Macaca mulatta: one gene and its partner. The protein of the gene in region 2 interacts with the protein of the main gene of each other region in a biochemical or structural test. Links are inferred from orthologs where the notes say so. Each region holds a gene or a part of one and is shown on either strand. Other genes may lie near its edges.

Region 1 (16,216 bases), on a different chromosome or scaffold from region 2:
GAGAAGAGGGGTGTGGGAAGGTAAAGAAACTTGCTGGACAAGTTATTAACACACTTTAAGCGAATGGTGCCCTGGGGAGCGGACTCCCCCCGCCCGGGCCCCCCGCCCGCTCGCGGAGAGATTTTTTATCCCTGGGATCATGAGCGTCCGGTCTTGCCCACAGGGCCTGTGCTGCGACGCATGTACATACGTGTTGTGTCTGTCAATAAAGTGTAAATAAGGTCTCCCTGCCCCACGCGGGCGGCCGGTTTCAGTGCCAGCCCTCAGGGGGGTTTCCTCCCCTTCCTTCTCCTTGTGCAGGTGGGAATCCCAAGCCCACCGCATCTCCAGTCCACAGGGCAGCGCGGCCAGGCCGGAGCCTCCGGTGCACGGGGCAGCACGGCCAGACTGAAGCCCTGGCATCTGGTGGCACCTGTAGTCCAGGAGGTCTTCATTCCTTCTGTTCCACGAGAACCTCGTGGCTGCTGGCAAGTGCAGCAGGCCTGCGGCCCTTCCCGCCAGGTTTCTGTGCACCCGGTACCCTCCTGTGCCCAGGCTTCCTGAGCAAGCCCGATGGCCCAGTGCAGCCTGTTCAGTCCATGTGGACGGCTCGGTGGCCTTGGTCCAGGGATCCACATGCAGAGCCTCATGGCCTCCTGGTCTCCCGCTTGTTTCTCATGGCCCTGGTGCCAGGTGGAGGAAAGAGAAAGGACTGAGGCCTGCATGGGACACAAGGGGGCATGTCCAGTGTGTTTGGGCACTGGGCTGGGCCTGGACATGGGACCCACCTGCCCTCCTGACTGAGAGCTCTGCTGGAGCAGCGTCACTCTTGTTCTGGAAGCTTCTGCGCTCATGGCCTGTGTTCTCTGCACACTGAAGGCTCCACGGCTGTGGCTGCACTGGGGCAAGAAAGTACAGACTCAGCAAAAGCTCAGCAGGCACCTGGGGTGGGCTGGCAGCGCCAGGAGGAACCTGCACCAACGATTCTGATGTTTGCCTCTAAGCGCTTTCTGCACCAGCTGGAGCTCTACGAGAGGCGGCCAGAGTTCCCCTGGAAGAGGTTGTGCATGGGGGCAGGGCTCACTGGCTCTGTGGGCCCTGCAGAGAACCCCCCACCATATTTGAGTCTCTGGGTTTCTCAGGACCACCTGATTTATTCTGGTTTTCTATTTTTTTTTTTCTTTGAGACAGTTTCACCCTGTCACCCAGGCTGGAGTGCAGTGGCACAATCTTGGCTCACTGCAACCTCTGCCTCCCAGGTTCAAGCGATTCTCCTGCCTCAGCCACCTGAGTAGCTGGGATTATAGGTGCTCACCACCATACCCAGCTAGTTTAGGAATTTTTGGTAGAGACAGGGTTTCTTCGTGTTGGCCAGGCTGGTCTCGAACTCCTGTCCTCAGGTGATCCACCCACCTCGACCTCCCAAAGTGCTGGGATTACAGGCGTGAGCCACTGCCCTGGCCTATTTACTTAGTAAAGTCTCCACCCAGCCGGGCCAAGCCCCACTGATGTTTCATCGTCCTGCTTAGACGCACTCGGTGCTGCCCCGTTGGTGCTGCCAGTGAGCAGTGGAGGCTGGAAAAGGTGTCTGGCCTGCTGCAGCACCCACTCCAGATGCTGCCCTCACCCCGCCTGTCCCTCACCCCACCTGTTCCTTCCTCTGACCCTCACCCTGCCTGTCCCTCCTGCCTCTCCCACCGAGATGCTCTCCCTCCTGTCCCTCACCTCACCTTTCCCTTGGTCTGACCCTCGCCCCGCCTGGCCCTTCCTCTGACCCTCGCCCCGCCTGGCCCTTCCTCTGACCCTCGCCCCGCCTGTCCCTTCCTCTGAGACTCTACACTGAGTGGCTTTTCGTCCAACCCAGCAGGGTCCGCCATTGCCACAAGGTGGAGGCATCTTAGAGGCTCTGCTTGGCCTCGGCACTGTCCAGGCAGGTGGGCCGTGGGTTGACCTCCATGAGGCAGCAGGGCTGGGCCTGCTCCTTTGGGTCTTTTTTTTTTTTTTTTTTTTTTGAGACAGAGTCTCGCTCTGCTGCCCAGGCTGGAGTGCAGTGGCGTGATCTTGGCTCACTGCAAGCTCCGCCTCCCGGGTTCACGCCATTCTCCTGCCTCAGCCTCCCGAGTAGCTGGGACTACAGGTGCCCAGAACCGCGCCCGGTTAGTTTTTTTGTATTTTTTAGTAGAGACGGGGTTTCACTGTGTCAGCCAGGATGGTCTCGATCTCCTGACCTCGTGATCCGCCCGTCTCGGCCTCCCAAAGTGCTGGGATTACAGGCTTGAGCCACCGCGCCCGGCCTCCTTTGGGTCTTAACCAACATAAAGGTGGCAGGGAAGTGAGGACCTGCACCTCTAAGAAGAATCCCCCAAAGCTGGAAACACCAGCGTCTCTGTGCAGAGAGCACAGCCGCAGAAGTGGCCAAACCCCCGCCTGGTGGGGAAGGCACCGTGGGAGCCCCTTGGCACCGTGACCCCACCAGCAGTGATGCACCTGGCCGCCTGCAACCAGGCTCTGCAGGAGTGGAGTGGGGGTGTTCCCTGGAATTGTGGGGGCAACTTACTCTTCCCCGATTTTCCGTAAAATGGAAGCCGGAGCACCACACATCTCTTGGGATCCCAGGTTCCCACAGCTCCTCCTTTCCAAGCCTGGGAGGCTGATGGCCAGAGGTCGCCCCGCCCCAGGGCTGTCAGCACCCCCAGGACCCCCAGATGCGTGTGCACCTCCCGTGGCCTCCAGCACTGTCAGTGAGGCATGTGTGGGGCCGTGGGTCCTGGGACAAGGCTGACGGGAGCCCCTCCTTTACTCTCATGGGTGTCCGACAAGAATCCATTGTGACTCAGTCTGTTCCAGGGGCTGGCTGGGACAGGCTGGTCCTGGGAAGTAGGTAGTCGGGGAAGGTGTCCAGGAGGAGGCAGCCGCTGAAGCTGTGACAGAAGTACGTGGTCAGCAGACGGGACGGGGCAGCTGCACTGACGTAATTGGGCTTGGTCGTCTCTCCACCCAGTATTTCTTCTTTTCTTTTTTGAGACAAGGTCTCACCCTGTCACCCAGGCTGGAGTGCAGTGGTGTGATCTCAGCTTACTGCAGCCTTGACCCCCTAGCTTTAAGGGATCCTCCTGTCTCAGCCTCCCGAGTAGCTGGGATTACAGGTGTGACACCACACCCAGCCTGCACTGAGTATTTTAGCTGAGGTTGTACCCACTGCTGTAGACTGCACAGCCCAGTCTCTCAGTGTTCAGATGGGAGCTTGGCACCATGACTGGCCGCCCTGGCTGTAGATGCTGCATCCCCAGCACAGTAAAGCTCCAGCCAGCAGGACTGGGAGGCGGAGGGCCTCCCATTTCTCCCACAGCCTGGGCCTGGGAGAGAGCTGGATCCAGTCCAGGGTGGGCTGTTAACTGCACTGAGGGCCCTGGGAGCCACCCCTCCTCCCCCAGGGTCAGGGGCTGTACTATGGTTGACAAAGCCAGGCAGCCCAGGGCAGACAGGCAGCCTGGGTCGCTCTGCCCACCCTCTGACCCTGCTGCCTCCTCCCTACTCCTACCCCTTGGCCCAGCCACATGGGTGGATGCTGGGCAGAGGCTGGCTGGGTGACTGAGCATGGAGCTCCCTCCAGGGAAGCCTCTTGGTGGGACCCCACCTATCACCACAGGCCCCTTCCTGTGGGGCTTGGGGCATCCTCTGGCCAGGGACTGGCAGGAAGCTGTGCTCTGACCTCAAGGCAGCTTCTAAAATGATATATCAGGCTCCCCCGCCTGGGTCTGCTGGGACAGCAGAGCCAGGAGACCCTGTGCTTCGTCCTCGGAGGCGGGAGTTGGCCTGGGCAGGGCCTGGCGGCTGACCGCCCCCCCAGCCCCTCTCGCCTCATTCATTTCTTCCCATTGGAACTGGGCTTCCCCAGGAGACACCTTGCTCTGCTCGGTGCCATTTCCTCTCCCCTGCAGAGAGGGTAGGCTGGGCCAGAGCACTGCCGAACTGAGTGGGTCTCCAGGGGCCCCTTCCCCCGCTCACTCTGAGCAGGGGGCCGGCTTGGTGGGGTCTGCTCTGTGGGCTTCCTTGGCGGGAAGGAAGGGGTTAACTGGCTGGGCGGCCTGGGGCCACTGGGGCAGAAGCCCTTCCTCCTCCCTTCCCCATCAACCCCAGGAGCCTTCACAGCTGAGTTTGGGAAGGAATTTGTTTAATTAACGTACAAAACCGCCCTCCCCATATCCTTGGTCCCGGAGGCCTGGCCACCAGGCCGGTGCCCAGGCCGCGGGGGGTGGGGGTGGGGGTCCGGCTCAGCAGCAGGCACGCAGGGCCTTGCGGAAGACATTGCGGAACTCGGCGTTGAAGACAGTGTAGATGACGGGGTTGAGGGCGCTGTTGACGTAGCCCAGCCAGGTGACCGCACTAACCAGCCGCGGGGGCACGGAGCAGGCAGGACACAGCGCCTGTGTGATGTGCACCACGAAGAAGGGCGTCCAGCACAGCAGGAAGGCCCCTGGGGGCGCCGAGAGCCACGTCAGCGCCCCCTGCCCCTCCGCGCCTCGTACTCCTCCCCTCCTCTCTACCCAGCCCCCCAGGGCAGGAACGCACCGACTACCACAGGCAGGACCCTCATGGCCTTGCGCTCCCGGCCGGTGATCTTGGCACGCCGCCTCCTGCGGGTCTGCGGTGGGGTCTGGGGTGGGAGCGCAGCGGCTCGGACGGCGTCTGGGGGCGCACAGTTGGAGTCGCAGGAGTCCGGGGGGAGGCCGGGCACGGGGGGCGCACAGTTGGGGCCGCGGAGACCCTGGGGAAGGCCGGGCGCTGGGGGCGCACGGTCGGGGCCGCAGGGACCCTGGGGAGGGCCGGGCGCGGGGGGCGCGCAGTCGGGGCCGCAGGGGTCCTGGGGGAGGCGGGGCGCCGGGGGCGCACAGTCAGGGCCGCAGGGGTCCTGGGGAAGGCGGGGCACAAGGGAAGGAGGGCCGGGGCCGCTGGGTCGGCGGGGCGCGCGGCCGTGCAGCTTGGCGCGACGGGCCACCTCCCAGCGCCGCAGGCCGCGGAACGTGGCCCAGTAGAGCAGCAGCATGAGCGGACAGGGTAGGAAGAAGGAGCACACGGACGAGTAGACCACGTAGTCGCGGTCCTCCAGGCGGCACACGGCGGGGTCACGGCCGCGCACGTCGTTGAGGCCGCACAGCACGGGCGCCGCCACCGCTGCGGACAGCAGCCACGTGGCGCCGATGAGCAGCAGCTGCCGGTGGCTCCCGCCCTGGCGGTTGTAGCGCAGCGGCACGGCCACGGCCACGAACCTGCGGGGAGCGCCGAGGGTGCGCGGGACAGCGCGGAGGCCGCGGTGAGGGCGGCGGCGGCGGGAGGGGCGCGAGGGCGCGGGGGCGCGGGCGGGGAGGGCGGCGCACCTGTCCACGCTGATGGCGCACAGGTTGAAGATAGAGGCGGTGCACAGCATGACGTCCATGGCCATGAGGGCGTCGCACAGGCGGGGGCTCAGCAGCCACGCGCCACCCTGGACCTGCGCGGCGACACCACAGGCCCTGAGGTTTCCCAGCCACCGCGGGCCCTTGTGACCCCCTCTCTTATGGGTAGTTCCAGGGCTGAATATGGAGGAGGGGGCCCGCTGTGAACCAGAGGCCAGAGGAGCAGGCAGAGAAACAACCCCTCTGCACTCAGGTCTCCCTTTGTTTTCAGTTAGGGTCTCGCTCTGTCACCCAGGCTGGAGTGCGGTGGCTCCATCATGGCTCACCGTAGCCTGGAACTCCTGGGCTCAAGCGATCCTCCCACCTCAGTCTCCAGAGTAGCTGGGACTACAGCCGCGCGCCACCACCCCCCAACTGATTTATTTATTTTTTATTTTTGTTTTTCTTTTTGTTTGTTTTTTTGAGACGGAGTTGCACTCTTGTTGCCCAGGCTGGAGTGCAGTGATGCGATCTCAGCTCACTGCAACCTCCGCCTCCCGGGTTTAAGCGATACTCCTGCCTCAGTTCCCCCGAATAGCTGGGACAGCAGCCGCATGCCACCATCCCAGGCTGATATTTTCATTTTTTTTTTTTTTTTTTTTCTGAGAGGGAGTCTCGCTCAGTGGCGCAGGCTGGAGTGCCCTGGGACGATCTCGGCTCACTGCAAGCTTCGCCTCCTGGGTTCCCGCCATTCTCCTGCCTCAGCCTCCCAAGTAGCTGGGACTACAGGCGCCCGCCGCCACACCCGGCTAATTTTTTGCATTTTTAGTAGAGACGGGGTTTCGCTGTGTCAACCAGGATGGTCTCGATCTCCTGACCTCGTGGTCCGCCCTCCTCGGCCTCCCAAAGTGCTGGGATTACAGGCGTGAGCCACCGCGCCCGGCCGATATTTTAATTTTTTGTAGAGACCCGGCCCGGTATGTTTCCCAGGCTGGTCTCAAACTCCTGGGTTCAAGCGATCCTCCTGCCTTGGCCTCCCAAAGTTCTGGGATTACAGGTGTGAGCCACCACTCCTGACCTTGGTCTCCCTTTTGTTACAAACATGAGAACGGGCCTGGGGAATTCCCTGGGGGCGGGGCCTGATGTCATCGGGCTCAAGGAGAGCCCCTCCCCAGCCTGGGGTAGGCAGGGTCCCCGCTGGGCCTAGACATGAAGCTGGCTGCTCTGTCCTTCAGGGCATGAGCCAGCCTGTCTGGTGAAGCTCTCTGTGGGAGACTCGGGCGCATTAATTCATTTGTTTCCTCATCTGTAAGACGAGGATGATGATAGTATCCACATAATTGTCTTGAAGATAAATTATAATTAAAAATATGAAGACCTGCCCAGTGCCCAGCGTAGGAGTCCACGTGGAGTGACTCTCTTCAAGGGCAAAGGAGCAGGCAGCCCCCTTAATCCCTTCCCGCCGATTTGGGAAGATTAGGAGCTTAAACGTCGTCACTGTGACGTCTGCGGCTCGAAAGGAGCACAGGTCATGCGTGTCCCGTGCTGCTGGTCTCTGCCCCAGCCGCCAGGACTCACCGTGTCTACCAAGGGGAAACCCCGAGTCCCCCCTCCTCCACAGTCCGGGACACCGCGTCCCCAGCTCAGCCTTAAGCTGCTTTTCTCTGGCTGCAGAGGGGCTGGCACCAAGTCCAACCCATCCGAGGGCCAGATCTGGTGTGGAGTGTGGGATCCATCCCCCAATTCCCCCTCGGGCTTCTCCCCAGGGTTCTCAGCAGGGGCCTGGCCCCCACACACCCTCCCCTGGGTTCTGTCCAGCCCAGGTCTCCCCTGTGAGCTGTGAGCCTCCTGGGGGTGAGCCAGCATCCGCACTGGGTGTGCGTGGTGGTCTGTGGCTGTGGCCGTGTGCAGTGCGTGTGTGCAGTGCGTGTGTGTGTGTCCCAGGGCAGCCAGGGGGCCGAGTCCGCATCTGCCTGCCTGTCCAGCTGGTTGCCCTGGGGGTGAAATCCAGCTGCCGGGCGGCGGGAGGGGGCTGGCTTCACAAAGTCGCCTATTTCTGGGGTCCCTAGATCGAAGGACGGGCATCTCCTGGATAGCAGACGCCAAGACAGAAGGGGAAGGGAGGAGAGGAACGGGGGTCGGGGGACAGCGCAGCGGGGGGAAGGTCGCGAGGTGGCGGCGGTGGGTGTAGCGCGGAGGGACCAGGCGCAGCGCCCCTGCCGCCGCCCCAGCTGGAGGCTCCGGAGCAGAAAGGGGCCGGGTCGCGCCGGGTCCTCCGCAGGGACAGGGACGGAGAACCGAGGAGCAGATGAAGATGCTCGTGCGGCCAGACGGGGCTCACCTCGGAGTAGACGAAGAGCGGCAGCACCAGGAGAGCGAGGAGGAGGTCGGCGGCCGCCAGGCTCACGATGAAGGAGTTGGTGGGCGTCTGCAGGGCGCGCTCGGTGGCCACGCTCACGCACACGAGCGAGTTCCCCGCGAGCACCGCGCCGATGAGCAGCACGCCTCCAACCAGCGCCGCCGCGCCCGGCCCTGCCAGCCCCGCAGCCGCCCCCGCGCCCGGCCCGCGTCCGGCCAGCAGCCCGTCCGGGTCCGCGGTGCTGCGGTTCCCCATGGCGCGCCGGCCCCAGGCGCCCGGGCGGGCGCTGAGCACCGCGGACAGCGCCGGGCCGCAAACCGGGGAGTCACTCCCCTTGGGCACGCCCCGGCCAGACTCTGGTCCCGCCCCCGCCCCGCCCCGGCTCAGGGGGGCCCCCGCGGCGCTCCACCGTGCGCCCAGTATTTGCTCATCTTGGAATTTTGCGCAGGGAGAGACGGGCAGGCGGACGAATGCGGCGGCCCAAAGAGACGGGAATGAAGCGAGGTGGTGGCCATGGGCAGGCCCAGCATCGCCTGGTGCGGCGCGGGGTCCGCACCCCGAGAAACCAACAAGGATGGAGGGGCAGCCAGACCAAGCCCTGAAGCGCGCGGGCATCGACGCCAGAGCCATCCTGCCCGGCCCCTGCGTGCGTCCCGGCCCTCGGGCCGTCCACCTAGTGCACCTGGTGTCTGGGAAAACGTCCCTCCCAGGCCCGTTCCGCCAGTCGCGGGAAGACCGGAGCTTAGGCTCTGCCCGCCTCCCGGGGGACTCGCCTCGACCTCGCGCGCACCCTCCTGCCCGCGACTCCGCGCCCGACCCAACCGCCGACGCCTGGCTCGTACCCCCGCTCCCCAGCAGCCTCTGGTCCTCAGCCCCCGCGACCACCACAGTCAGCCGCGGCCCCACCCATTGCACAGTTGGTCCTCCCGTGGCCGCCTCCGATAGTGGGCCGGCACCTCCCCCCGACCCTCCACCCCCGGGCGGACAGCTGAGCGGTCGACCCTGCTCCCTCCTCCAGTCCCTCCGGCCCAAGACCCTGAGCTAGGTAGGCGTCCCTCTGACCCTGGGCAGGGGGTCCGGGGACCGGACAGTAGGTTCAGCCCGCGAGGAGGCAATGAGAAAGACAAGACAGGCCCTGGCAGGTTCCAAACGTGCAGAAGAGAAAGTGCTTGCAAAGTGCAGCAGAGACAATTCTATGGACTCTTCATCAAATCGGGGTGACCCATGACCTGAGGGGTATTTTCTGTAGTCCTGTCACTAAAGGGGCCTAGAAGGCACTAAAAGGAGGCACCACTCTGTGGGACCCTGGGCGATGCACATCTTGCTCTTGTCTTTGTTTCTGGGAGGACTGGAGTGGAGGGGCCGTGCCAGGAATTGAGGCCCCTGACCTCAAACGTATGGAGGACACGGGCTGGACGAGGTGCTGATGGGGTGTGCATTAAAGGGAGAAACGAGGGCTCTGAGAAGGAGCAGGCACCGTGAGCATCACAAGGCAAGGTCCTGGGGTCTGTAGGGGAAAGGCCTGCACCAGGGTCAGGTGTCCACAGACATCAGGTGCAGCCGCAGCCAGGCTAAGTCCCTCTTGTGCAGACCAGACTCCTGCCCGTGAACCCTTGTGCAAAAGAAGTCACCACAGAAGAGGCTGGGACAGTGCAAGTGTCTTCTCTTCTAGGATGGAACCCGGGAGGGTGGCCCTGGGGTCTCCGGCTGGGTGCCCAACGGTGAGTCCAGCCCAGCCTCTGGTCAGCTTAGAATTCCTTCAAGTGGCCCCCAAGATGTCTGCGACCACCAAGAGTGAAAACAAAGCCAGGCGGAGAAAGGATGTTTGCAGTACACATCTCTGGTACAGAATGCAGATCCAGAATATATAAAGAGTGCTTTTAAAACAATGAGAAAAGACAGACAATTCCAGTTTTTTTCTTTTTTTTTTTTTTTGAGACGGAGTCTCGCTCTGTCGCCCAGGCTGGAGTGCAGTGGCCGGATCTCAGCTCACTGCAAGCTCCGCCTCCTGGGTTCACGCCATTCTCTGGCCTCAGCCTCCCGAGTAGCTGGGACTACAGGCGCCCGCCACCTCGCCCGGCTAGTTTTTTGTATTTTTTAGTAGAGACGGGGTTTCACCGTGTTAGCCAGGATGGTTTCGATCTCCTGACCTCGTGATCCGCCCGTCTCGGCCTCCCAAAGTGCTGGGATTACAGGCTTGAGCCACGGCGCCCGGCCTTTTTTTCTTTTTTTTTTTTTTGACATAGAGTTTCTCACTCTTGTTGCCCAGGCTGGAATGCAGTGGCACAATCTTGGCTCACTGTGACCTCTGTCTCCCAGGTTCAAGCAATTCTCCTGTCTCAGCCTCCCAAGTAGCTGGGATTACAGGTGCCTGCCGCCACACCTGGCTAACTTTTTTGTATTTTTAGTAGAGACGGGGTTTCATCATGTTGGCCAGGCTGGTCTCGAACTCCTGACCTCAGGTGATCCACCTGCCTTGGCTTCCTAACGTGCTGGGATTACAGGAATGAGCCACTGCCCCCAGCCTATACTATATACTTCCGTTGTTTATCTGAAAATCAAATGTAACTGGATGTGATCGCATCTCACTGCAATCATGGCTCACTGCAGCCTCAATCTCCTGGGCTCAAGTGATCCTCCGGCTCCAGCCGGAGACCACAGATGCGTAGTGCCACACCCAGCTAATTTTCTCATTTTTTGTAGAGACGGGGTCTCGCCATGTTAGCCCAGCTGATCTCAAACTCCTGGGCTCAAATGATCCTCCCACCTCAGCCTCCCAAAGTGCTACGATTACAGGCATGAGTCACACACCCAGCCTAAACAATTTTTAATAAGGACCTCCACTCATACCTTACACATTAAAAAATTAACTCAAATATGCTGTCAAGAGAATCAAAAGACACAGACTGGGAAATGATATTTGCAAATGGCCACGTCCGGCAATGTTTTTTTTTCCATTTTAGTGTAGTAGGACGTCGTTGATTTTCCTGATGGCTACTCACGTTTGACCACTTCGCATGTGCCTGTTAACTGTCAGTGTGCCCTCTTCTGGAACGTGCCTGTTAAAAATCTTTGCTTTTGTTAAAAATTGGGTTGTCTACGCCAGGCGCAGTGGCTCACTCCTGTAATCCCAGCACTTTGGGAGGCCGAGCCGGGTGGATCACCTGAGGTCAGGAGTTCAAGACCAGCTTGGCTGGCCGGGCGCAGTGGCTCACGCCTGTAATCCCAGCACTTTGGGAGGCCGAGGCGGGCGGATCACGAGGTCAGGAGATCGAGACCATCCTGGCTAACACGGTGAAACCCCGTCTCTACTAAAAAATACAAAAAACTAGCCGGGCGAGGTGGCGGGCGCCTATAGTCCCAGCTACTTGGGAGGCTGAGGCAGGAGAATGGCGTGAACCCGGGAGGCGGAGCTTGCAGTGAGCCGAGATCCAGCCACTGCACTCCAGCCTGGGTGACAGAGCGAGACTCCGTCTCAAAAAAAAAAAAAAAAAAAAAAAAAAAAAAAAAAAGACCAGCTTGGCCAATATGGTGAAACCCCATCTGTACTAAAAATACAAAAAATTAGCTGGGTGTGGTGGTGCGTGCCTGTAATCCCAGCTGCTTGGCAGGCTGAGGAAGGAGAGTTGCTTGAACCCAGGAGGCAGAGGTTGCGGTGAGCAGAGATCACGTCATTGCACTCTGGCCTGGGCAACAGAGCAAGACTCTGTCTCAATAAATAAATATAAAAAAATAGAAACAAAAATTTTAAAAATTAGCAAATCATATATCCAGCAAATAGCTTGCATACAAAAAATATTAATAATTCTCAAAACTCAACATTAATGACATCACAAAAAGAAAATTCCAGATGAGTATCCTTTATGAATATAGATGCAAACGTTCTTGGCAAAATATGAGCAAACACAATCCCTTTTAAAGTGCTGCCCGTCAGAGAAGCAGCATTTTTTTTTTTTTTTTTTTTTGAGACGGAGTCTCGCTCTGTCACCCAGGCTGGAGTGCAGTGGTACAATCTCAGCCCACCACAACCTTCGCCTTCCGGGTTCAAGCAATTCTCCTGCCTCAGCCTCCCAAGTAACTGGGATTAGAGGTGTGCACCACCACACCCAGCTAATTTTTGTATTTTTAGTAGAGACAGGGTTTCATCATGTTGGCCAGGCTGGTCTCAAACTCCTGACCTCATGATCCGCCCACCTCGGCCTCCCAAAGTGCTGGGATTACAGGCATGAGCCATCGCGCCCGGCTGAAAAGCAGCATTTTTTAAAGGATTATGTACCATAACCCAGTGGGATTTATCCCAGGAATGCAAGGGTGAGTGAACAGACGAAATTCAATGTCATACACCAGATTAACAGAATTAAGAAAAACCCACGCAATCATCTCAATTGATGCAGAAAAAAAATTTCATAAAATTCAAAATCCTTTCATGATAATAAGACTCAATAAACTAGGAGCAGAAACAACTTCATCAGGCCAGGCACGGTGACTCAGCCTGTAATCCCAGCACTTTGGAAGGCCAAGGAGGGTGGATCACTTGAGGTCAGGAGTTCAAGACCAGACTGCCCAACATGTTGAAACCCCACCTCCACTAAAAATACAAAAATTAAAATTAGCTGGGCATGGTGGCGCACGCCAGCTTCTCAGGAGACTGAGACACGAGAATTACGTGAATCCAGGAGGTGGAGGCTGCAGTGAGACGAGATCGCACCACTGCACTCCCCCCGAACAACAGAGGGAGACTGTGTCAAAAAACAAACAAACAAAAAACAAACACAGCTAACATCATACTCATTGGTGAGAAACTAAAAGCCTTTTAAAGAGACGAGGATACCCACTGCTGCTGCTTCTGTTCAACATTGTTCTGGATGTTCTAGCCAGAGCATTAATCAAGAAAAAGAAATTAGGCCGGGCGCAGTGGCTCAAGCCTGTAATCCCAGCACTTTGGGAGGCCGAGACGGGTGGATCACGAGGTCAGGAGATCGAGACCATCCTGGCTAACACGGTGAAACCCTGTCTCTACTAAAAAAATACAAAAAACTAGCCGGGTAAGTTGGCGGGCGCCTGTAGTCCCAGCTACTCGGGAGGCTGAGGCAGGAGAATGGCGTAAACCCGGGAGGCGGAGCTTGCAGTGAGCTGAGATCCGGCTACTGCACTCCAGCCCGGGCAACAGAGCGAGACTCCGTCTCAAAAAAAAAAAAAAAAAAAAGAAATTAAAGGTATCCAAAATTGGAAAAGAAAACTATTGCACATGACATGGTCTTACGTATAGAAGATCCTCAAAAAACAGGCCAGGCTCGGTGGCTCACACCTGTAATCCCAGCACTTTGGGAGGCTGAAGCGGGCGGATCACGAGGTCAGGAGATCGAGACCATCCTGGCTAACACAATGAAACCCCATCTCTACTAAAAATAGAAAAAATTAGCCGGGCGTGGTGGTGGGCACCTGTAGTCCCAGCTGCTCAGGAGGCTGAGGCAGGAGAATGGTGTGAACCCGGGAGGTGGACCTTGCAGTGAGCCAAAATCAATTGCGCCACTAGGTGACAGAGCAAGACTCCGTCTCAAAAAAAAAGAAAGAAAGAAAGAAACCCCGTCTCTACTAAATATACAAACATTAGCTGGGTGTGGTGGCATGAGCCTATAATTACAGCTACTTGGGAGTCTGAGGTGGGAGGGTCATTTGAGTCCAGGCGGTTGAGGCCACAGAGAGCTGTGATTGAGCCAATGTACTCCAGGCTGCCCCAAAATAAAATAAATAATGAACATGGGTAAAGGACTTGAACAGACATTTCTTCAAAGAAGATACACAGGCCGGGCGCGGTGGCTCAAGCCTGTAATCCCAGCACTTTGGGAGGCCGAGACGGGTGGATCACGAGGTCAGGAGATCGAGACCATCCTGGCTAACACGGTGAAACCCCGTCTCTACTTAAAAAAATACAAAAAAAAATTAGCCGGGCGAGGTGGCGGGCACCTGTAGTCCCAGCTACTCGGGAGGCTGCGGCAGGAGAACGGCGTGAACCCGGGAGGCGGAGCTTGCAGTGAGCCGAGAGGTCGCGCCACTGCACTCCAGCCTGGGCGACAGAGCGAGACTCCGTCTCAAAAAAAAAAAAAAAAAAAAAGAAGATACACAAATGGCCGGTGCAGTGGCTCATGCCTGTAATCCCAGCACTTTGGGATGCCAAGGCAGGCAGATCCCTTGAGTTCAGGAGTTCAAGAACAGTCTGGCCAACATGGTAAAACCCCATCTCTACCACAAATACAAAAATCAGCCGGGTGTGCTGGTGGGTGCCCATAATCCCAGCTACTTGGGAGGCGGAGGTGGGAGAATCACTTGAACCGGGGAGGCAAAGGTTGCAGTGAGCCAAGATCGCACCATTGCACTCCAGCCTGGGCAACAGTGCGAGACTCCATCTTAAAAAAAATATGGCCAGGCACGGTGGGTCACGCCTGTAATCCCAGCACTTTGGGAGGCTGAGGTGAGCAGATCATGAGGTCAGGAGATCGAGACCATCCTGCCTAACATGGTGAAACCCCATCTCTACTAAAAATACAAAACACGGCCGGGCGCGGTGGCTCAAGCCTGTAATCCCAGCACTTTGGGAGGCCGAGACGGGCGGATCACGAGGTCAGGAGATCAAGACCATCCTGACTAACACGGTGAAACCCCGTCTCTACTAAAAAAAAAAAAAAACAAAACAAAAATCTAGCCAGGCGAGGTGGCGGGCGCCTGTAGTTCCAGCTACTCGGTAGGCTGAGGCAGGAGAATGGCGTAAACCCAGGAGGTGGAGCTTGAAGTGAGCTGAGATCCGGCCACTGCACTCCAGCCTGGGTAACAGAGCGAGACTCCGTCTCAAAAAACAAAACAAAACAAAACAAAACACTTAGCCAGGCATGGTGGCATGTGCATGTAATCCCAGCTACTTAGGAGGCTGAAGCAGGAGAATCGCCTGAAACTGGGAGGCAGAGGTTGCAGTGAGCCGAGATCGCGCCACTGCACTCCAGTCTGGGTGACAGAGCAAGACTCCGTCTCCAAAACAAACAAACAAATAATATATATACACACAAAAAAAAAAATGGCCATGAAGCACTTGAAAAGATGCTCAACCTCATTAGTCACTGGGGAAATGCAAATCAAAACCACAGTAAGATACCATTCCATATCCATTAGGATGGCCATGATAATAAATAAATAAAAATAGCAAGTGTTAAGGATGAGGAGAAATTCACTGCTGTTGGGAATGTAAAACAGTCACTGTTAGAAAAAGTCCAGCAGTTCCTCAACAAGTTCCACACAGAGTTACCATATGACTCCATGGATATGTTATATACCCAAAAGAAGTGAAAACAGGTGTTCAAATAACAGCTTGTATGTAAATGTTCACAGCAGCACTATTCACAATATACAAAAGACGCCAGGCATGGTGGCTCATGCCTATTCGAGACCAGCCTGGCCAATATGGTGAAACCCCATCTCTACTGAAAATACAAAGTACTGGCTGGGCATGGCGGCTCATGCCTATAATCCCAGCACTTTGGGAGACTGAGGTGGGCAGACTGCTGGAGGCCAGGAGTTCGAGACCAGCCTGGCCAATATGGTGAAACCCCATCTCTACTGAAAATACACAAAGTCCCGGCCGAGCATGGTGGCTCACGCCTATAATCCCAGCACTTTGGGAGGCTGAGGCGGGTGGATCACCTGAGGCCCTGAGTTGGAGACCAACCTGGCCAACACGGTTAAACCCCGTCTCTACTAAAAATACAAAAATTAGCCGGGCGCGGTGGCTCAAGCCTGTAATCCCAGCACTTTGGGAGGCCGAGACGGGTGGATCACGAGGTCAGGAGATCGAGACCATCCTGGCTAACACGGTGAAACCCTGTCTCTACTAAAAAATACAAAAAACTAGCCGGGCGCGGTGGTGGGCGCCTGTAGTCCCAACTACTCAGGAGGCTGAGGCAGGAGAATGGCGTGAACCCGGGAGGCGGAGCTTGCAGTGAGCTGAGATCCGGCCACTGCACTCCAGCCTGGGCGGCAGAGCCAGACTCCGTCTCAAAAAAAAAAAAAATACAAAAATTAGCTAGGCATGGCAGGTGCCTGTATTCAAGGAGAATAGCTTGAACCCAGGAGGCAGAGGTTGCAGTGAGCTGAGATCAGGTCAGTGCACTCCAGCCTGGGTGACAGAGTGAGATTCCATCTCAAAAATAAATAAATAAATAAATAAATAAATAAATAAATAAATAAATAAATATTTTTTAAAATGCAAAATTTAGGGGGGTGTGGTGGTGCATGCCTGTAGTCCCAGCTACTTAGGAAGCTGAGGCAGGGGAATCAAACCCGGGAGGTGGAGGTTGCAGTGAGCTGAGACTGTACACTGCACTCCAGCCTGGGCAACAGAGCGAGACTCCGTCTCAAACAAACAAACAAACAAACAAACACACACAATATATACAAGGTAGAAATAAACCAAGTGTCCTCAGCAGGTGCATGGATGAACCAAATGCAGTGTGAT
Region 2 (15,515 bases):
ATAATCCCAATTAATGGAAAATATATTAACACACACCAGGGTTTTAGTTGAAGGGAAGTCTATGAACTTCATCCTAGTAAAAAGGAATCCTTACTCACAGTCCACTACCCATTGAGTTCTCTCCCATTCCTGCATCCCAGACTCGATACCTAGACAGTAGATCACTCCGCTGGCCACTACGAGTCCGGCACCTTCCCGAGCTGTCTGCATATCTCCCAGCATGCTCCACTGGTCAATGTTTGGATCATACCGCTCCATACTGGTGTGACGCCTGCTTCCGTCAAAGCCCCCAGAGACATAGATCATATCTGCTCAGAATAAACAAATTACAGACTATTAGAGAATGACAGATTTCTAAGAACTCTTTCCTCTACAAATTTTCCAAGGATTCTTTAAAAGTCTGGGAGCAAAAACAAAGTATTTTTTAATGAGATAAGTCAATTAAGTTTTATAGACAAGGAAGACATCCAAAAAGAATGGGGTAAAATAAAATCCTTAAAAGCATTCAAAGACCACCTGGGAGTTTGCAAAAATACAACTAGTGCCAGTTCCCCACCTAGCACGTTGGAACTTGATTTGCCAATTTTGTAGTCAGTACTGAAACATCCATGAATATCGAACAGCTTCTATTACACTGATATTTCTGAAAGCAAAAAGGAATATTTGTCAGCTGGGCACAGTGGCTCACACCTGTAATCCCAGCACCTTGGGAGGCCGAGGCGGGTGAATCACTTGAGCTCAGGAGTAAGACATCAGCCTGGGCAACATGGCGAAACCCTGTCTCTACTAAACATACAAAAAAATAGCTGGGCATGGTGGTGCATGCCTATAGTCCCAGCTACTCAGGAAGCTGAGGTGGGAGGATCGCTTGAGCTTGGGGAGGTTGAGGCTGCAGTGAGCCGTGATCGTGCCACTGCACTCCAGCCTGGGCAACAAAGAGAGACCCTATCTCAAATAATAGTAACATTTGACCTTAATTTTTTCTCCATATTTCATGCTCCTGCCAGACAATAGGAGAGGTTAAAAACCCTGGTCCAGCCACAGTAAGATGGAAATAATTGCCCTACACATCCAGCCTACCTCCCAGGGTGGTGGCTCCAGCAAGACCTCGTCGGACATTCATAGGGGCCACAGAATACCAGACCCCATCCTCATCTGCTGTGTAGTCTAGACATTCCACTGAACTAAGGCGGGAACGGCCATCATAGCCACCAATGACGTAGATCCGGTCATGTAGGGACACTGAGGCCACATAACGTCTCTTACGAGTGATGCTCTATGGATTTGGAGAGAAGAGGTACAGAGCATTTCAGTTAGGCAAGTTTTAGGCCTTACCTTTTGCTATCTTCCCTGTTGCATCTGCACACCTCTATGCTTCTTCACCTGTTATCATGAACCCTCCCTGAGTGGTTCATCCTCAAGTGGCTCCCAAATAGCTATCTACTGAACGAAATGCTTGTGGTGCTCTTAAAGATACAAGCTTTCTGCACATCTGCCTCTTTCCAAGGCTTCCAAAAGATTTAACAGCCTTCTGTTATCCAGTATCTGACTCCTTTCTTTTCCATAAGGCACTGGGCTAAGAGACTGATATCCTTCCATAAAGTGGAAAAGTATTCCCACACTGCTAATCAAAGGGCCAGGATTTATTACAAGAACCTTAAAAGGTAGGAGGGTTGGATTTCCATGTTTTCTTAGAAAGTACTATTGTTCATTCAGCACTGAAAGAGACATGCTGAGGAAGACAGATACAAACTTTTTTTTTTTTTTTTCCTGAGTTGGGATCTCACTGTCACCCAGGCTGGAGTGCAGTGGCACAATCACAGCTCACTGCAACCTCGAACTCCTGGGCTCAAGCAATCCTCTGCCACAGCCTCCCAAATAGCTAAGGACTACAGGCATGCACCACCATGCCTGGCTAATTTTTTTGTTTACTTTTTTGTAGAGACAGAGTCTCACCATATTGCCCAGGCTGGTCTTGAACTCCTGGCCTCAAGGGATCCTCCCATCTCAGCTTCCCAAAGGGCTGGGATTACAGGTGTGAGCTACCACGCCCAGCCCAAACTTAGCTCAACTGAACACTAGGTTCAATTACACACAATTTAACATTCAGTTCAGTTTAACACAGCATGACCAATGAAATGTGCTGGGAATTATACAGACAGCTTGGCAAGGCACCTAACTAGTGGTGGCCATCTGAGTTTACCTTGACACAGGGCCACTGACATTACTAAGGCATAATCTTCTAATCTAAACAGTCAAAAACTGTTTAGTGAGTACCTACTATGTGCACAAGACTGCTGTAAGAAACATGATCCTGTTATTAGGCTTTTCTACTCTTAAGGCTGGATTAGCTACGATCTGGAGCCAGAGACTAAGGACATTTAAGCTCCCTCCCAACGAATGGCTTTTCTACTCCTAAGGCTGGATTAGCTATGATCTGGACCCAGAGACTGAGGACATTTAAGCTCCCTCCCAACGAATGGTTTCACCATTATTTACTGGCAAAAAGCTCCACTCCTGAGTCTTGGGGTCGTATTTCTCTACCACGTCGATGGGAGACTGCTGGCTTCCGAAGCCCCCAACCACCAAAAGCACTTCATTGGCTCCTGAAGACAAAGGCAGAAAAAAGATGGGTTAGTTCAGCATCCCTGGATGGGTAACTAGTCACAGGGAAGTGTCAACAGAAACAGTTCTAGGATGTCTTGTTTTATGTGACTGAGGGATGCAATCTGAAATGGGAGATAATCATAAGGCTGTCGAATGGGGAGTTATTTCTCCTTGAGGCTGTAGCTCTCAAGTCTCTGAAACTTAAATTTCTGGACAACATTAAAACTCTAGAAAGCAAACTTCAACATGACACTGCACCATTTCTTTTTTTTTCTGGAGACAGAGTTTCACTCTTGTTGCCCAAGCTGGAGTGCAATGGCACAATCTCGGCTCACCACAACCTCCACCTCCTGGGCTCAAGTGATTCTCCTGCCTCAGCCTCCCAAGTAGCTGGGATTACAGGCATATGCCACCATGCCTGGCTAATTTTGTATTTTTAGCAGAGATGGGGTTTCTCCACGTTGGTCAGGCTGGTCCTGAACTCCCGACCTCAGGTGATCTGCCAGCCTCAACCTCCCAAAGTGCTGGGATTACAGGCGTGAGCCACCGTGCCCGGCAACACTGCACCATTTCAACCTATTGAGATGACTGGCTGACATAATACTTGAGGTCTTAAGTGCAGGTGAGAGGCTAAAGGCACTCTCTGCACTTCTCAGCCTGAAAAAACCCAAATTGGGAGGGTTTTTTTGTTGTAATAGGGAAAGAACTCTCCTAACCTTGTCACAAAAAAAAGCTGCATGTTGAAACTTAGGATCCAAGTGATGGATTTAAAGTCTCTTTTTCTGAATTGAGAAAGGGTCTCGCTATATTGCCCAGGCTGATCTCAAACTCCTAGCCTGAAGTGATTCTCCTGCCTCAGCCTCCCAAAGTGCTGGGATTACAGGAATGAGCCACTGTGCCTGGCCTAAAATCTCTTTTTCATGAACATTTCCTTCTCCAATGTAGTCAACTATATGATCATATTCCCTGCCAATTCATCAAAACCACAAGGCAACAAAAGACTAGAGTTTTAAAGGAAAAGTCTTTTTCTCTATTTTCCCAAAGAAGCTATTCTGACAGCCTTTATATCTTCCCCTTCCCCTAAGGCCTTACTCTGATAAAATACTTCCTACCCTGGCTCTTGGAGACAGGGTCTTGCTATATTGCCCAGGCTGGTCTCAAACTCCTGGCCTCAAGCGATATTTCTGCCTTGGCCTACCAAGTAGCTGGGGTTACAGGTATGAGCCACAGCACCTGGCTTGGCTTTTTTCAAAGAGCAAAGTCTCTTTGAGAAAATCCCCTGTGCATGTGCTCCATTAGAACTCATGGAGAGAACAGTTAGCTGGAGCTTTGGAAAATTCAATCACTAGGAAGCATCTAGGAGACCAAAGTGATCTTACAAGTAACCTGGACTTGAAAGAGCAAATGTAGTACCTTGAAGCTGACAGGAAACACAGATAAACCCCTAATGAAGTAATGGATTTGACAATTATCATCAATTGCTGGGCTAGAATCATTATTTCAAAAGCTAACATATTACTATGAGACATTGTGTGCTTCCTAATGGTGATGAATAGGAAGGACCACACTACCATCTAATGAGTCTTTTTTCTAAAAAATTGAGGCTGACTCTTAACAACCCTCTAGTCCAACCACTAGTTTACAGGCAATACATAGGAGAAGAACATGTTAAATGACACTATAAAGATGCCAACAGCAGAGTCCAGAATGTGGGAAATTCTACAGGTCGAATAGCTTGTTTTCTTCAAGAAATAAATTGATTAGTAAAAACCAAAACAGGATGGAAACACTTTGTATTAAAAAGAGACTGAAAAGAGACATGAAATCACTAGCAACGTGTGGACTTTGTCTGGCTCCTGATTTGAACAACGTAAGTACTCAAAAACAAACAACAAAAAATTATGGAAAAAAAGTTACACAAACACGTACTTATGACAATAAGGAACTGTGTGATTTTAAACAGTGATAATGGCATTCTAGATGTGTCAAAAATTTTATCCTTTTTAGAGACACACGTGGAAGTATGACACATAGTGATGGAATTATATCCAGTCTGGAATTTGCTTCAAAATAGCCTGGGCACAGTGGCTCACGCCTGTAATCCCAACACTTTGGGAGGCCAAGGCTGCCAGATCACTTGAGGTACGGAGTTCGAGACCAGCCTAGCCAACAAGGCAAAACCCCGTCTCTACTAAAAATACAAAAATTATCTGAGTGTGGTGGTGCACACCTGAAATCTCAACTACTCGGGTGGCTCAGGTACAAGAATGCTTGAACTCGGGAAGTGAAGCTTGTAGTGAGCTGAGATGGCGCCACTACACTCCAGCCTGGGCCACAAGGCGAAACTCCATCTCAAAAAAAAAAAAAGCTATGTGTTGATAATTGTTAAAATTGAGTGATGGGTATGGGGGATCATTGTATCACTGTTTTTATGTTTGAGATTTTTCTTAATAAAACATATACACCCACACATAAACCGTGGAGTTTTTCTAAGAGGACACTTGTCTTATGTACTTGCCAAATAAAGTGGACCCTCTCCAAAGTAAGCCAGCAAGTAGGTCTCAGGAGTCAGCTCCTTCGAAAATGAAAGCATGGCCAGGCGCGGTGGCTCACGCCTATAGTCTCAGCACTTTGGGAGGCTGAAGCAGGTAGATCATCTGAGGTCAGGAGTTCAAGACCAGCCTGGCTAACATGGCGAAACCCCGTCTCTACTAAAAATACAAAAATTAGCCGGGTGCGGTGTGCGCACCTGTAATCTTAGCTGCTTGGGAGGCTGAGGCAGGAGAATCACTTGAACCCAGGAGGCAGAGGTTGCAGTAAGCCGAGATCGCGCCACTGCACTCCAGACTAGGCAATAGAGCAAGACTCCATCTCAAAAAAAAAAAAAAAAAAAAAAAAATTCAAAGCATATGAATGAAGGGTTCTTTAGTGACTGAACTCACTTATGTCTGCCTAAGAGTACTTCAAATTGGGAGAAGCCAGGATCACAAGTTATTTGTTTTTTCTTTGGGAACACTATTCCCCTACATATTCCTTTTTCTTATTCCACCTCTTCTCTTCCTGACTGGAATAGACAAGGTAAGCGTGATCCTTTTATCCAGACACATTTCCCATGTAGATGAGTATGATGCCAGCAGATGATATATGTATGAATAAAAATTCCCACACCAACCAAGAGGTATTTCCTGTGCTATGCAAATTTTAAAGTTTTCTCCTGATTTTTCAGCTCTTATTTCTGTTGCTTTATATGACTCCCTGCCCCACCCTGCCAACCAAAAAAAAAAAAAAAATATATATATATATATATATATATATGTATGAAGAGGTCAGATACAGTGGCTCATGACTATAATCCTAGCACTTCGGGAGGCCAACGTGGGCAGATTTCTTGTGCCCAGGGGTTCAAGGACACTTTGGGTAACATGGTAAGACTCCTATATCTAAAAAAAATAGCCAGGTGTGGTGGCAAATGCCTGTAGTTCCGCTCCTCCTGAGCCTGACATGGGAGGATCACTTAAGCCCAGGAGGTTAAGGCTGCAGTGAGCAAGGTTGTTCCACTGCACTTTAGCCTGGGGAACAGAGTGAGAACTTGTCTCAAAAAATAAAGTAACATAAAATAAAGAAGGCTGGGAGCAGTGGCTCATGCCTGCAATCACAGCATTTTGGGAGGCCGAGGCGGATGGATCACTTGAGGTCAGGAGTTCGAGGCCAGCCTGGCCAACATGGTGAAACCCCGTCTCTATGAAAAATATAAAAATTAGCCAGGTGTGGTGGCACACACCTGTAGTCCCAGCTACTCGGGAGGGTGAGGCACAAGAATCACTTGAACCTGGGAGATGCAGGTTGCAGTGAGCAGAGATTGCACCACTGTACCCCAGCCTGGGTAACACAGCAAGACTCTGTCTAAAAAAACTAAATACAAATACAATACAAAAATTAGCCAGGTGTGGTGGTGTGTGTTTGTAGTCCCAGCTACTCTGGAGGCTGAGGAAGGAGAATCGCTTGAACCTAGGAGGTGGAGGTTGCAGTGAGCTGAGATCACGCCACTGCACTCCAGCCTGGGTGACAAAGCAAGAATGTCTCAAAAATAAAATAAAATAAAATAAAAACCCCTCTCTTTCTTGATATTTCATTCAGGTACCTTTTGAAGGGTGGGAGAAAATAAGTAGAAAGGAAATAGATTATAATAAAAACCCAGAGAACGGACAGTACTTCTTGTTGGCTGAAATTTTCCCAATAAACATTCTGGTAACTATATGTCTACGGTGGAACTTGGTAAGAGGTGTTGGTGTGATTTGCAAAGGAGTTTGTTTTGTTTTGTTTAAAAGACAGGGACTTCCTCTGTCACCTAGGCTGGAGTGTAGTGGCACAATCTCAGCTCACCACAGCATCGACCTTCCAGGCTCAAGCAATCCTCCTACCTCAGCCTCCCGAGTAGCTGGGAGCACAGTGTGTGCTACCAAACCCAGGTATTTTTTTTTTTTAATTTTTTACAGAGAGGAGGTCTCACTATGTTGCTCAGGCTGCTCTCTTAACTCCTGAAGCTCAAGCCATGCTCCTGCTTTGGCCTCCCAAAGTGCTGGGATTACAGACATAGGTTTTATGGCTCTAAATGGCTGGGATCCTTCGATCACTGATTCTCAAACTTCTTTGCTGTGAAGGACTCTCTTCATTGTTTTCCCCTGACAGATCCTGTGTTTTGACAGACTGTCTACCAAAGTGAGTTTAAGTAATTAACTTCCCCAGCAACTGCCAACAGAGCTTCTGATAACTATGAGAGCAACAGTGTTTCACACTGAATGGATACAATGTTAGCTAAATCTGAAGTCTTTATTTTGCCTGTTCAGCTTTTTCTCGCACAAAAATGATTTTCTTTTAGAATATTTAAAAATAACTCAAGGACTAGTATAATCACCATCCCCACTCACATATTACCCCTCCCCGTTAAAAAGACTTGAAAAGTTTTTTCCTTGTGATTATAAAACATATAATATACATTTTTACTGCTAAAAAACTTGGAAAATACAGACAAGTATTATGAAAAAAATTACCCACAGTTCCACAATACAAAGACACACCAAAATATAACATAATTTCCTTCCAGCCTTGTTTCTACACATTTATAAAACACAAATGGGGGCCTGGCACAGTGGCTCGCACCTGTAATCCCAGCACTTTGGGAGGCTGAGGCAGGTGGATCACGAAGCCAGGAGTTTAAGACCAGCCTGGCCAACGTGGTGAAACCCCATCTCTGGTGAAAATACAAAAATTAGCCGGACGTGGTGGCACGTGCCTGTAATCCCAGCTACTCGGGAGGTTGAGGCAGGAGAATTGCTTGAACTCGGGAAACAGAGATTGCAGTGAGCCAAGATTGCACCATTGCACTCCAGCCTGGGTGACAGAACAAGACTCCATCAAAAAACAAAAACAAAAACAAAAAAAATCCAAAAATAAACAAACAAAAAACCCCACAAATGTGACCATATTATATTATATGCTGATGTTTTTCATTTTGCAAATATATGAATAAGTCTTTTAGTACATGGTTATAATATTCTTAGGCATTTCGGGGTTCATAATTTTGGGTTATAAACAATCACATAAATAACCCTGTGATAAATATCCTGAACGTGAAACTTTTCCTAGTTGTTTTCTTAAAGAAATGGGAAGAATGCTGAGTAATGAACATGAATTAGAAAAAAAGTTTTTGAGCCAGGCATGGTGGCTTACACCTGTAACCCTAGCACTTTGGGAGGCCAAAGCAGGCGGATTGCACAAGCCCAGGAGATCAAGACTAGCCTGAGCAGCATGGTAAAACCTGTCTCTACTAAAAATAAAAAAAATTAGCCAGGTCTGGTGGTGCACACCTGTAGTCCCAAGTCCCAGCTACCTGGGAGGCTGAGGTGGGAGGATCACTTGAGCCCAGGAAGTGGATGCTGCAGTGAGCCAAGATCATGCCACTGCACTATAGCGACAGAGTGAGACCTTGTATCAAAACAAACAAACAAACAAAATAGACGACCATGGTGGCACACGCCTGTAGTCCTAGCTACTGAGGAGGCTGAGGTGGGAGGATTGCTTGAGCCCAGGAAGTGGAGTCTCAGTGAGCCAAGATCATGCCACTGCACGCTAGCCTAGGAGGCAGAGTGAGACCCTGTCTCAAAAAAAAAAGAAAAAAAAAATTTTTATATATAAGGTGTCTTTTTGAAATTGTTACCAATTATACCCCCACCAACACTATAAAGGTGCCAACTCATTCTATTTTCTGAGGCACTGGATAGATTTTAAATCTCTGACACTCTGGTAGGCAAAAAATTGTATGTTTAATTCTTTATTACTAAGACCCTATTATTAATTAGGTTGCACTCCCTCCCTTATATCAATAGCCAGCTTTACTTGCCCTTCTGCAAACTGTGCACTCAAATCTATATTGTTTCTCTCATGCATTCTTGTTTATTTTCTTTTTAGATACAAGGTCTTGCTCTGTTGCCCAGGCTGGAGTGCACTGGTGTAATCATGGCTCACTGCAGCCTCAGCCTTGACCTCCTGGCTCAAGCATCCTCCCAGCCTCCCACTTCAGCTTCCCTAGTAGCTGGGACCACTAATTTTTTTCTTTTCTTTTTTTTTTTTTTTTTTTTTTGAGACGGAGTCTCGCTCTGTCGCCCAGGCTGGAGTGCAGTGGCGCGATCTCGGCTCACTGCAAGCTCCGCCTCCCGGGTTCACGCCATTCTCCTGCCTCAGCCTCCCGAGTAGCTGGGACTACAGGCGCCCACAACCGCGCCCGGCTAATTTTTTGTATTTTTAGTAGAGACGGGGTTTCACCGTGGTCTCGATCTCCTGACCTTGTGATCCGCCCGCCTCGGCCTCCCAAAGTGCTGGGATTACAGGCGTGAGCCACCGCGCCCGGCCCCTCTTTTCTTTTCTTTTTTTTGAGACAGAGTCTTACTCTGTGGCCCAGGATGGAGTGCAGTGGTGTGATCTCGGCTCACTGCAACCTCTGTCTCCTGGGCTAAAATGATTCTCCTGCCTCAACCTCCCCAATAGCTAGGATTACAGGCGTGTGTTACCATGCCCGGCTAATTTTTATATTTTTAGTAGAGACAGAGTTTCACCCAGTTGGCCAGGCTGGTCTTGAATTCCTGGGCTCCATCGCCCACCTCAGCCTCTCAAAGTGCTGGGATTACAGGTATGAGCCACTGCTCTTGGCCCTGTCTCATGCATTCTTTACACACAAATGGTTTTAACCCTTTAACGCTTTACTTATTTATCTATTTTTTTTTTGTTGTTGTTGTTGTTGTTGAGACAGAGTCTCGCTTTGTCGCCCAGGCTGGGGTGCATTGGCCAGATCTCAGCTCACTGCAAGCTCCGCCTCCCGGGTTTACGCCATTCTCCTGCCTCAGCCTCCCGAGTAGCTGGGACTACAGGCGCCCGCCACCTCGCCCGGCTAGTTTTTTGTATTTTTTAGTAGAGACAGGGTTTCACCATGTTAGCCAGGATGGTCTCGATCTCCTGACCTCGTGATCCGCCCGTCTCCGCCCCCGGCCTTATCTATCTATTTATGAGATAAGAGTTTTGCTCTTGTTGCCTAGGCTGGAGTGCAATGGCGCGATCTTGGTTCACTGCAATCTCCACCTCCCAGGTTCTAGCGATTCTCCTGAGTAGCTGGGATTACAGGCATGTGCCACTACGCCCAGCTAATTCTGTAGTTTTAGTAGAGACGGGATTTCTCCATTTGGTAAGGCTGGTCTCAAACTCCTGACCTCTGGTGATCTGCCTGCCTCAGCCTCCCAAAGTGCTGGGATTACAGGCGTGAGCCACTCCGCTGGCCAACCCTTTAACCCTTTAAAGGTTGTTCCAAACCTATGTTCCTAATTTGTCATAATTTTGTATATTTTTTTTATTCAAATATGTTTTTATTCTTTGTCATTTCTTCCACTATTTTGTGCCTAGAAAGTCTTTCTCCTCCAGAAGAACTCCTAAGGTTTTAATGTTTTAACCCTAAGTTGGAGACCAATACTTAAACAATCTGACTCGTGTAAAAAAAAGTTAATGAAAGAGTCAATCCAGAAAGAAGCCTGTTTGTTCTCTGCCAATGATGGAGTACTTGTTAAGTGAGATTTTTATCTTTTTAATGAGAAAACCTTGTCTAGGACATCTGACAAGAACAGTGTGAAAAAGCACATTTCTAAAACTGAAGAACCTGGCAGTGGCATGGTCATTATTTTTAGGAGGGGAAGGGGAGTGTGTGTATGCCGTGATACGTTTTAGAGGAATAGGTGCTGTGATACGCTGTTAGAGGAACAGGGCAGATGCAGGACTGCTAAATAACAGGGTTCAGAGACTCACATTTCCATTTGCATTGATCTTTAGTTCAAAAAAGGAGACAGCCACAAATTAGAAAAGCAATTTCCATTATATCTTCTTTGAGACAGTAATGGGTAAGGTTAATAACTAAAAATCCCTTATTTGGCAGACTATTTTTTTTTTTTTTTTTTGAGACGGAGTCTCGCTCTGTCACCCAGGCTGGAGTGCGGTGGCCGGATCTCAGCTCACTGCAAGCTCCGCCTCCCGGGTTCACGCCATTCTCCTGCCTCAGCCTCCCGAGTAGCTGGGACTATAGGCGCCCGCCACCTCGCCCGGCTAGTTTTTTGTATTTTTTAGTAGAGACGGGGTTTCACCGTGTTAGCCAGGATGGTCTCGATCTCCTGACCTCGTGATCCGCCCGTCTTGGCCTCCCAAAGTGCTGGGATTACAGGCGTGAGCCACCGCGCCCGGCCAGGCAGACTATTTTAACTTGGCTGTCAATTTAATTTCCTTCTGCTGTATGCAGAAGAGTCATTATCCTGGTAGCTGGTTTAGCAGCCAATATGATAGAAATCGGTAGAGGACATGATGGTAAGAACAATCTACTTTCTAAGGCAATAACAAAGCGATACTAAGCATCTAATTGGAAACTGCTTCAGCATTTCCCTTCTAGAACTTCTGAAAAATAACCTCAAGACTATGAAGATAGTAGATTCACAGTCTAATCCTTTAACGTCGGGGGAATAAGCAAGTTCTCTAACCAAGCAGAAGCCCCTTTTGCTGCCTGTTCAGAGATACGCAGGAAATGTACCTTCAAAGAATCTTCTGGGTTTACTGATTCACAAAAATTTTCATTAGCTTTTAGTTCAATTTAATAAGCAAATAATGAGTACTATCATGCAAAAAGGAAACATTTTTCTATGTTGGAAAGTACCTTAGTGATTGAACGTTAACTCTCTTGATATAAAGAACTGGAAACCCAGAGAAGTTAAAGGACTTGTCCAACAGCAAGTTACCAGAGTGAGTGACGGACACGGGAGTAAAAATAAAAGTAAGCAAAATGTCTTATCTCCTAGTGCCAGGTTCTTTCCACTACGTCACTGGCTCTCATGGTATAGGTTGAGTAACCCTTATCTGAAATGCTTAGGACAAGAAGTGCTTCAGATTTCAGACATTTTTGGATTTTTGTAATATCTGCATTATTTATTTGCATAACTATTTGCACATCCCTAATTCAGAAACCCCAAATTCAAAACGCTTCATTGAGCATTTCCTTTGAGCATTACGTTGGCACTCAAAAGTTTTAGATTTTGGAGCATTCTGAATTTCAGATTAGGGTTACTCAACCCAAATTTTTTTTTTTTTTTTTTTTTTTTTTTTTTTGAGACAGAGTCTTGCTCTGTCGCTCAGGCAGGAGTGCAGTGGCGTGATCTTGGTTCACTGCAGGCTCTGTCTCCTGGGTTCAGGCCATTCTCCTGTCTTAGCCTCCTGAGTAGCTTGGACTACAGGAGCCCACCACCACGCCCGGCTAATTTTTTTTTTTTTTTTGCATTTTTAGTAGAGACGGGGTTTCACTGTGTTAAGCAGGATGGTCTCGATCTCCTGATCTCGTGATCCACCCGCCTCGGCCTCCCAAAGTGCTGGGATTACAGGCGTGAGCCACCGCACCCGGCCACCCAATCTGATTTTTAAAAATAATAATTATTTTTTAAAAAACAAAAGTAGGCCGGGCGCGGTGGCTCACGCCTGTAATCCCATCCAGCACTTTGGGAGGCCGAGGTGGGCGGATCACGAGGTCAGGAGATTGACACCATCCTGGCTAACAGGGTGAAACCCTGTCTCTACTAAAAACACAAAAAATTAGACGGGTGCTGTGGCGGGCACCTGTAGTCCCAGCTACTCGAGAGGCTGAGGCAGGAGAATGGCGTGAACCCAGGAGGCGGAGCTTGCAGTGAGCCGAGATCGTGCCACTGCACTCCAGCCTGGGTGACACAGTGAGACTCCATCTCAAAAAAAAAAAAAATACAAAAAAATACAAAAAATTAGCCAAGCATGGTGGCACACACCTGTAATTCCAGCTACTTGGGAGGCTGAGGCAGGAGAATCACTTGAACCTAGGAGGCAGAGGTTGCAGTGAGCAAAGATTATGCCACTGCACTCCAGCCTGGGTAACAAGAGCAAAACGCCATCTCAAAAAAAAAAAAAAAAAAGTTCCTACCCTGGGAGGAAAGGGAGAATTGGGAGTTATTGTTTAATGGGTACAGAGTTTCAGTCTCGTTAAGATGAAAAGAGAGATTGATTGTATAACAACGTAAGTGTATTTAACATGATTCAACTGTACATGTAAAAATGGTTAAGATGCTAAATTTTACGCTAAATATATTTAATTTATTTATTTTGAGATGGAGTGCAATGGCACAATCTTGGCTCACTGCAACCTCCGCCTCCCAGGTTCAAGTGAGTCTCCTGCCTCAGCCTCCGAAGTAGCTGGGATTACAGGTGTGTGCCACCATACTCTGCCAATTTTTGTATTTTTAGTACAGATGGGGTTTTGCCATGTTGGCCAGGCTGGTCTCAAACTACTGACCTCAAGTGATCTGCCCACCTTGGCCTCCCAAAGTGCTGAGACACAGTGCCTGGTCTGTTACATATATTTTACAAAAAAGAAAAAAAGACTTCCATCCAGAAGGTATACAAATATTTTCCTATAATTTCTTCTAATATTTTCATAGTTTTTCAACATTCAGTCCTTCAGTCTATCTTGTGTTGATATGTATCTTTGTACGAAGCATATGAAACACAGATCACATTTTGTCATCTTGCAGTAATAGAAAATACCATCAACAATGCCCTTTCTAAAAGTTCTCTTTTTAAAATACAGTATCTTTGAGTGGTAAGATTATAGATGATTTTTATTTATTTTTTGGTTCTCTGTATTTCTAAAGTTCTACATTGAACATACAGTACTTATGCCATTAAAAAATATAGGGGAGCTAGCCATGCATGGTGGCTCATGCCTGTAATCCCAGCACTTTGGGAGGCCGAGGTGGGTGGATCAATTGCAGCCAGGAGTTTGAGACCAATCTGGTCAACATGGAGAAACCCTGTCTCTACTAAAAATACAAAAATTAGCTGGGGATGGTGGCAGTTGCCTGTTGTCCCACCTACTCGGGAGGCTGAGGCACAAGAATTGCTTGAACCTGGGAGAGGTTGTAGTGAGCCAAGATTGCTCCACTGCACTCCAGCCTGGGTGGCAGAGCAAGACTGTCTCAAAAAAAAAAAAAAAAAAAAAAATATATATATATATATATATATATATATATATATATATATATATATATATGGGACAACTGTAATCCCAGCACTTTGGGAGGCCAAAGCAGGTGAACTGTTTGAGTCCAGGAGTTCAAGACCCAGCCTGGGCAACAAAGGAAGGCTCTGTCTCTACAAAAGAATACAAAAATTAGCCAGGCATAGTGGCCGGTGCCTGTGGTCCCAGCTACTTGGGAGGCTAAGGTATGAAGACTGCTTGAGTCCAGGAGGCTAAGGCTGCAGTGAACCGAGATCATGCCACTGCACTCCACCCTGGGCAACATAGTGAGACCCCATTTCTATTAGAAAAAATAAAATATAGGGGATAAATCACCATTCTACCTAAATCCATCAGTGAGCTGCTTAATTATCAACACCTTAGCATGCATGATGAGTCCTCAGTCAGATAAAAGGAAACAATAAAACAAAATACCACCCCATACATATAGAGTAATTCATAACTTATAAAATGCTTTTATACATTATACACCTAGGCTCTTGGTACAGTGAAGCAGAGAGAATAGGAAATGTAAAGTATGGTAAATATCTGAGTACTTAGTGTGTGCCAGCTATAGTGTTAGGTATCTTATATACATTATCTCATTTAATCCTCCCAACAGCTCATTGAGATAAGACACTAACTCTCATCTTAGTGGTAGATGCATAGGCTCAGATAAACTGATATCTTGCCCAACCAGTCACTGCTGGGGCTTGGATGTGAACGTAGATCTATTTGCTAAGATAATAGCTAATACACATAGTTATTATGTGCCAAGAACTGTATTAAGGCTTTACATAAATAACTTTATTTACTTTTCATAACAATGTTACAGGCAGGTGCTATGATGATTCCAGATGAGGCAACTGAAGCACACAGAGGTTAAGGTTCCTGCCCAAGTTAATATACCTAGTACGAGGTAAACTGGTACCTACACTGACAGTCACTGCCAAAACCCATGTACTTTCTACCATACTGGGCTCCTTTTCTTCCTCTCTTCATTCCGGAATGGAAAAACCACACAAGGGGAAGTGAAGAGGTAGGTGGAAGCACTACGTGGCACTAAAATTATCTGATTCACAGAATCTAAATAATATTGACAAAAAATTGTAACATGTTATGTAATGCTTGACAATGTATCAAGTGCTTTTAGATTTTATCTTATTTAATTTCCAAATGGTTATGTGAAGTAGATAGAGAAGATATCCTTGATTATAGGAAAGAAAACTTAGAGTGGTAAAGCGACTTGTCTGAGATGATAGAAGAAAAGATCTGAAACAAGGTCTCTGTACTT

The links.
Region 1: of the proteins of KLHL12 (region 2) and DRD4, one has a biochemical effect on the other in vitro, tested with the Homo sapiens proteins (2 studies listed by BioGRID, with this or other methods). The link is inferred for Macaca mulatta from reciprocal best matches to the Homo sapiens genes KLHL12 and DRD4.

Annotation. Positions count from the first base shown.
Region 1 is NC_133419.1:525,991-542,206, reverse strand, and holds DRD4 (D(4) dopamine receptor), read right to left. Parts: upstream 8,334-16,216; 5' UTR 8,329-8,333; coding exon 7,696-8,328; intron 5,471-7,695; coding exon 5,358-5,470; intron 5,250-5,357; coding exon 4,552-5,249; intron 4,457-4,551; coding exon 4,254-4,456; 3' UTR 4,133-4,253; downstream 1-4,132. UniProt on the Homo sapiens protein: Dopamine receptor responsible for neuronal signaling in the mesolimbic system of the brain, an area of the brain that regulates emotion and complex behavior.
Region 2 is NC_133406.1:60,559,084-60,574,598, forward strand, and holds part of KLHL12 (kelch-like protein 12), read right to left. Parts: intron 2,607-15,515; coding exon 2,500-2,606; intron 1,277-2,499; coding exon 1,081-1,276; intron 309-1,080; coding exon 150-308; intron 1-149. UniProt on the Homo sapiens protein: Substrate-specific adapter of a BCR (BTB-CUL3-RBX1) E3 ubiquitin ligase complex that acts as a negative regulator of Wnt signaling pathway and ER-Golgi transport.